Caenorhabditis elegans: one gene and its partner. The protein of the gene in region 2 interacts with the protein of the main gene of each other region in a biochemical or structural test. Each region holds a gene or a part of one and is shown on either strand. Other genes may lie near its edges. The genes, in order: mup-2 and unc-27.

The links.
Region 1: the proteins of unc-27 (region 2) and mup-2 interact in far-western blotting, tested with the Caenorhabditis elegans proteins (one study listed by BioGRID).

Annotation. Positions count from the first base shown.
Region 1 is NC_003284.9:6,407,797-6,411,896, forward strand, and holds mup-2 (Troponin T), read right to left. Parts: upstream 2,432-4,100; 5' UTR 2,413-2,431; coding exon 2,390-2,412; intron 2,338-2,389; coding exon 2,269-2,337; intron 2,218-2,268; coding exon 2,106-2,217; intron 2,040-2,105; coding exon 1,662-2,039; intron 1,611-1,661; coding exon 1,404-1,610; intron 1,332-1,403; coding exon 903-1,331; 3' UTR 675-902; downstream 1-674. UniProt on the Caenorhabditis elegans protein: Troponin T is the tropomyosin-binding subunit of troponin, the thin filament regulatory complex which confers calcium-sensitivity to muscle actomyosin ATPase activity.
Region 2 is NC_003284.9:8,787,594-8,791,186, reverse strand, and holds unc-27 (Troponin I 2), read right to left. Parts: upstream 1,732-3,593; coding exon 1,582-1,731; intron 1,531-1,581; coding exon 1,259-1,530; intron 1,179-1,258; coding exon 1,037-1,178; intron 982-1,036; coding exon 852-981; intron 805-851; coding exon 770-804; 3' UTR 566-769; downstream 1-565.

The DNA of each region.
Region 1 (4,100 bases), 2.4 Mb from region 2:
TGTAAACTTTGTTGCTTCTCGGTTGTAATTCTCTACTGAAACCCAGTTCCTCACTGTTCTCGCCCCGTTGCTTTCATTTCTCACTTTGCGAAAAAAAAACATAAGCAAATACTATGAGGCCTATTTGTCAGACTTTCCAGATGTTCTTCCCAACCATAACTACTCCCCAAACTCTAAAAATTCCCCAGGTCGTTTTCAAAATTGGCCCCAGATGTGTGTCTCGTATCTGTTTTGCTTATTCAAATCTAACCAATAACTTTTATTTTTGAATTTGATAACTTGATTTTGAATTTGATAATGTGTATAATTTTTATCATAGAATGTTTTCAAATGCCTCTCTGATTAGTTTGTTACACACATCAAACTGTGGCGTGTCATGCCGATTTTCTCTCCTACCACAAAAAACTTTGCCCCAGAAATTCATCAACTTTGCTGTTGTAAGCAAATTTTTTCTCACCGCTTTCAAACGATTATTTTTCTCATTAGCTAGATCCCAATTTCTCATATTTTTCCAATTCCGTCTTAGTCCTTTCCTTTTTCAATTTATATTATTCATATATATTTTTTCCGTTGACTCGACTTATTCAAACTTTAATAATAAATATTATAATCAAAATTTGTCTTTCCACGAATTCTTGTTTTAATCTGTTTCATGAAATGCTTACAATTCGAATGGGAATGCAATTTTTATGATAAAGACTTTACTGATAAGCACAAACCGGAGAGTATGCAGAAACAGAGTACTTGAAGAATTGGAGAATTGGTTAATAAATTGGAAACAAATGCAAAAAGTTTTGATTGGAATATTAGAAAATGGATTTTTTTTGGTTGGGATTGGGTTTATTTTAATAAATTTGATAATCAAAAAATTGTGAAATGAAAAAAGGTAAAAAACAGGAAATTTATTCGACAACGACCTCTTCTCCAACATTTGGATCCTCGGTGACTTGTTGTGGCTCGAAGTCATCAGTTGGAACGAAGAGTGGGACTGGCTCGACTGGTGCTCTGGCTCCCTCAACCTTGACCTGCTCAACGTACTTTGGTGGCTCCAAGTTTTTGCGGATCTGCTCGAGTTCTTCGTTTTGCTTGCGTCCCCACTCTGCTGGTGGTCGTCCGGTTCCGCGGACGAGGGAAGCCTGCTTCTCCTCTTCTGGGTTCTCGAACAAGTACCGACGGTCTCCGTAAGATCTTCTGTCGGTTTGACGGTCGAACTTAGAAGCGGTGGTGATCTTTGGTGGATGGACAGAGGAAGCAGCCTCCTCTGGGTCAAGTCCCTTCTTGAGAGCCTTGTTACGGGCGGCTTGACGTTGACGCTCGTGTAACTCTTTCATCTGAAGTAATTGAAATTTGGTTGAATGTCACACACAATATCAAATAAGTCTCATTGAATAGTTTAAACTTACGTCATAGTCTTGACGTTCACGTCTCTTCTCCAAGTCGTACTTCTCAGCCTCGAGCTTGACGATACGAGCATGAAGGCCTCTGATTCTCTCCTTCAAATCGTTTGGAAGAAGTCCAGAGACGTCTTGTACACGGCAGACGGCGGCCAAGAAGTTTCTCTTGGCATCCTCCATCTGTTCCTTGCTCATGACATCCTTTCCTCCCTTAGCCTGAAAGTTTCTTAATTAGTATTCGATTTAAAAATGATACAATAAAAATACCTGAGCCAAGTTTCCGAATTGAGCAGCTTGGTCTCCCTTGGAGGCGACAGTGAAGTTGCGTCCAGCTCCGGCTTCAACTCTTCCGTTGAAAGCTCCAGCCATCATTTGTTGACGACGGACCTTCTCCTCGTTCTTGCGGATCTTCTCGGCATCAGCCTTAGCCTTGCGTTCGTCTTCTTCCTTGCGACGGCGCTCGTCATCTTGACGTCTACGTTCAGCGAACTGACGCTCGTCCTCTTCACGCTCAGCTCGGCGCTTCTCTTGCTTCTCCTTGAGTTCACGAAGCTCTTGTTCGATTTGCTCCTTCTCAAGAACACGGCGCTGCTCGTAATCGAGAAGTTTAGCGGCTTCCTCTTCCTCGTGACGCTTCTTGGCGGCCTAGATATGAATTTGGTTAACAATTTTATGAATGAAACGGAAGGTCTCCCAAGAAGTTATACTCACCAACATGGCAATCTCAGCCTCAGTCATCTCCGCTGGTGGCTTCTCCTCTTGGACTGGAGCACGACGCTCCTTGACCTCTGGTGGAGCGACTACTTCCTCGGTGGTCTCCTCTCTACAATTTCAGTGTTATACAAAAAATCACGAATTCAAAGCTTAAACTTACGGCTCTTCAGCCTCAGCTGGGGCCTCTTCGGTCTCCTCGACCTCCTCCTCCTCGACCTCCTCATCAGAGCTAAAAAATTAAAAATTAGAATGTCTAGAAAAATGATAGGTATATAACTTACTATACCTCCTCCTCGTCGGACATGATTAGTTAGGTTTAGGTTCTGTAATTATATGAAAGTTAAATTCTCAAAATTCAAAATCTCAAAACATATTGATAAGAAGTGATGACACAGAAGAAGAAGGAAATTTGAGTATGTGCCGGTGGGATGTTGAAATCGACAATGAAGAGATATGAAAGTGCTTGCTCCGGGAGGCCGTCGTTGGCAGATAAGTGGGAGGGGCTGGCGGGAGCGGGAGCTCTCAGGGAAAAGAAAAGTATAACATACGGACACAATCTGTGCTGTAAACCTTACACCTACGCAGAGTGAGCAGCCGTGCCCTCCTCGTGTGGCTCTCGTCTTTCTCTCTGCCTGGGGCTTCCCGCGGGCAGTCTGCGTTTCCTCAGAATACGCAGACTTCTGTGATGTGCTATCGTAGAAATAGGGCATCATGTTTCGATCCGAAGGCTCAATATATTTTTGAATCACCAACATTGATTCGAGAAACGGGTTTCTCTGCTTCTCTCTCGATCACCAAGATGTGCACTTCACTATCTCTTCCTCCTACGCTGACACAGACAAGGGACCAACAAGAGACAGATGATGATGAAGAGTTTGGACAAGTTGAAAAAAACAACATAGTTTATACTGGTCAATTGATAAAAATTTCTAACAAGTAGTTAATATGTTTTAGAAATTACTGTGATTTTCCTATTATTCTTGTATCTTCCACTGCACACTAATTCTAATTGGTCAGCTTTAAAATAATAAAAACGCGTTAAATATTTATGTGGTTCAAAAAGTTTTGTTAAAATTTAGGTAAAATACGGTAAACTTATTTTATAATTACGAATTTTCAATGAATCATCACTTTTATTTAAATATTTTAACGCGCAAATGAAAACGTAGTGCTCTTTAAAATTGATCCATTTAAAGTAAACAAATCATTTTAATATTTCTACAAATATTAAATTTCAAAATTCAATGTTTAGAAATCAATGATATTTGTGTAATAGTTTCCAATTTACCGAGGCACCTTGCCAATCGGCTATCATCTTTTTCCAACAAGCTCGTTTCCACCAAAAATCCACTCACAGTGGCCCCTGCAATAAGACAAGCGGGGCGAGCATACGAATAATATTTGGGTGGCACAATTGTAAAAACGCAAAACAATAATACAAATATTCTTTCTTTTCATTTGAATGCAGCTGATGATCTTCGAGACGTTTTCATTCAAATTCTTGTAAGCCAGTGTCAATTGGCCGTCTGGTTCAGTTGCGGGGATCCAATTAAGGGAATTTGAAAAATTGATTCTAAATAATAAATAAAACATTAATTTCAAAGAACATAATAATAAACAAGGCAAAAAAATTACGAAAAGTGTGTTCAATGTGGTGACAACAGTCCACACTAATTAAATTATTGCAAAAAAATAGTGTTATTCTAAGAAATACGAACATCTTTGTGAAATACAAAATAAATGTAGTAATTAATCATCAATTTCAAAACTTTAGTCTAATTAATTTGATATTAACATATGAGATCAAAGATATAGATTACATTTTCGAAAATGTCAAAAAATTACCCTTATTCAGAAAATGTATGTTTTTGACACCTTGTATTTTTCTTGTATTTTATAACATATTTTTTGAAACATTGTATTTTTGGTTTCTAACTAGCAAATTAGTCTATGGTGGAGTAGGGGCAGTGGGGTAATTTTTCTGAACTACCA
Region 2 (3,593 bases):
TGTCTGATACCAGTTTTTTTTTGTTTATTAGACTCAGTAATATACTAGTACAGTACTTTTGGAAAACTATTGACTTTTCATTGAAATGTGCTCTCCTGTTTGCTTTTCCAAGCTATCAACTTCCCTTGATTTTCTCCATAGATCACGATAATCTTCAAATTTACTGCAGCATTGTATCATAACAGCTAAACTGTGAATATGAATATTGCTGATTAAGTTCTGCACAATTAAAAGAGATATTTTCATGTATCAATTTTCAACAGATGGAAACTTGATCGAAATTTTGAAATTGCAAGAACAGTTTTTTTGGCGTCTGTGGTGTTGAATGTTGTGAGTGTTTCAAAATTGTGTCAAAAATATTTGAAATACTTTTTGAAACGTTATCTGACAAATGAGTTTGTCAAAGCGTCCCAAAATTATTCGCACTATTCTTAGAGCCCAGGAGAGTGATCCTCTCATGTTTTCCTCCCACGTTCTCCTTCACTTATCACTTTTAACCAGACACTCCCTACTACACTTCACACTTCCTTCTCATATTTCTTCAAGGATTCAAACACACAAGTCTGACCACCAAGATTTTATTAGCACACACGTTGTTGACATTTAAATTTCCGGGACCCATCGAAGGAAGAATAAAATGGTAAAAAAGTATTTTACAAACTACAGAATATTGATGTTGGCATATTTTTTTTTGGGGAGGGGGGTTGTTCGGTTTGATGACGTCGATTTGGATGATGTTGAGCAGGATTGAAGTGATGGATTTAGGAGTTTACTCCTCCTCCTCCTCCTCTCCTTCCTCTTCCTCTGCAAGTTTTCAGTTATCGAGAAAATCTAAATCATTTTTGACAAACCGGCTTCTGGCTCAGCCTCGGCTTCCTCTGCAACTGGCTCAGCTTCTGGAGCAACGGCAGCTGGAGCGGAGTCTTCGGCCTTGGCATCCTTGTTCTTCTTGGACCAATCTGGCTTGTCGTCCTTCTTCTTCTGAAATTGAAATATTTGTTTATCAAAATTCTCGAACATTGCAGATAAAACTTACAACATTGACGATGGCCTCCATAACGTCCTTCTTGACAATCTTGAGGTTGGCACGGAAGTCTTCCTTGGTTCCGGCCTTGCTCTCACCGCTCTTCTTGAACTTGTTGTCGTACTTCGACACCTTCTTGAGTGAAGGCTTGACGCTGAAAAATAAAAAGTAAAATCAATACTTTGGATGATTTTACATATATGGGAAATTCATCAAAAACTGATAAAAACTCACAACTTTCCACGAAGATCGTTGACCTCAATAGTGAGGGAGTTGATCTCAGCCTCAGTCTGGGAGACGACGTAGTTGATGTCGTACTTCTCCTCCTCGAGCTGGGTAAGACGAGCCCAGAGGTCATTGTAGATCTTCTCGAGTTGTCCCTTATCATCAATGGAGTCAACATTTGGAAGTGAGATGGTTCTGTCAGCAAGAGCCTTTTGTCTTTCTTGCTCCTTAAGCAATTGTTGTCTCTTAAGATCCTCGGCGGCCTTGACCATCAAAAGCTTCTGAAATCAAAAATAAGTTAAACATTTAAGTGTTCCAAAAACACAACTTACACGAAGCTTCTTCTTACGCTCTGGTGTCAAGAATCCCTTCTTGGCCTTCTTCTTGTTTCCGGCCTCTTCGAGACGCTTGCGCACCTCGGCCTTCTTGGCCTCGCGCTCGGCAGCTTTGCGCTGGGCGTCCTCTCCGGCTTCTTCACTCATCTGAAATTTTAGTTTGGGGTACAAGTATCACAAAACAGAAGATTAAATTCACAAAATGAATAATTTTTGAATGAGCATAAAACAAATTAGCGGCGAGCCTGATCATGCATCCGAAGGCCTTGTGAATTGAAATCTGAAGTATCCTGCCAATAGATGTCGCAACTCGTGAGAGGTACCTAGAGTTGGCAACAGCCGCCCCACAAACCGCCCGCCCTCCAATTCTGTATCTTTGGGTCTCTCGGACAATGCCATACAGACAGATGCTCTTTCCAACACGTCTCCCGCTTGTTGTAATGATTCTTGCCTACCAATTGCGTTGGCCGAGATTGATTGAAGACAAGCGAGAGATAGGGATAGAGCTGTGGCAACTTCAGTGGAAAAAACCAACGGAACGCGGCAAGAAGATATTGGTTTCAGATGGGGCAGTGGGTCAAGTTATGAGCTATTCGGTGAATGGGGCTCCGAACAATTTATGAAGCTAGTCTGTAGTTTTTCTGTATTTTCAAAAAGAAGATATGTGATCAAAAATCAAAATCGTACTACTAAAAATACCTAAACAATTTTTAAAATAACATACTGATTTTTCAACGGTGTCACTGAGTTCATCAATTCGATTGCTTTTTTGTAGTTGTGACATGGCTCGCTAGTGAGATCTGTAAATATTTGTTGGATAAATTGTTTCAAAAGTGAATTGGAACATGACATTTTTCATCAGAATCAAGAATAATTTTATTTATTTTTTCACAGTGTTTTGTTTTCAACCATTTCTCTTTCAGTTCCATAATTTCATGCTGTCACGTAGGATTTGAGTAGGTCAGAAAACAAAAAAACCTAAAAAAAAATTGACAAGCTGACAAGTGTGACGTGTGGAAAAATACAATAAAAATAGTCACGGTGGCCGGTGAGACTCTCTTGAAATTCAATATGTTAGGGACCATGAGTTGAAAGTGTTGCGAGGTGTGGGCAGATGTTTGAGATTTGTGATAAGTGATAAAGAAAAAAGATAGCGGGGATAATGAAATTGGGTATGCAAATCATCATTAGTTATCACAAAAAGTTGAATATTATTACTTTCAAATTGAATTTATCAGTTGTTATCATAAAGTAGTTATTTTTGACAAGACTATAAAATAAGTGAATCTAAATCATTAAAAAAATCACACATTCAAAAATCAGATCACAACGAGAAAAATCTACATTTTCCAACAATGGTAAATAACAACCCGAAACTTGTAAATAAATTCCAATTCCCTGTAACTATTTTCACACCCATTTTAGTTTATGGAGTAGTGATGGATTAAACCGATCTATTGTCCTGTTTATTTTTAACACTTTTTTCCATAAACATTCACATTCTTATCTTGAATTGTTTTCAACTGTGTTATCACGCTTTTCTGCCAATCTCCGAATAGTTTACACTGTTTTCTTCTGATGCGGCAAGCTCTATCTTTCTTTTGATACATTGTTCATTGCAACGAGTATATAGAGAAAGAGAAACATCGGAAGAAGATACAGAAAAATAGCTGATGGAGGCGATGATGATGTTTTGGTTAAAAACGTTGAGCAGTAGTGGGGGCACAAGTGTTACGAAATATTATTATACATGAGCGGTTGTCATATGGGTAAATTAATTGGCACTACCGAACTTTTACAGCTTACAATTTTTTACTTTTAGAAAATTATTTCTTGATTGCTATCAAGGAATAATTTTCATTAGAAGTAGTGTCCTCAGTGAGGTATAACTAATAATGAGCTAAATTGGGTATAAATAAAGTAATATTGGAACTTGATCACATAATCCCTGTTCAGTTGTATGTATTGGAAGTAGGTGTTGGAGCTTGCACAAATTCTCGAAATTATCC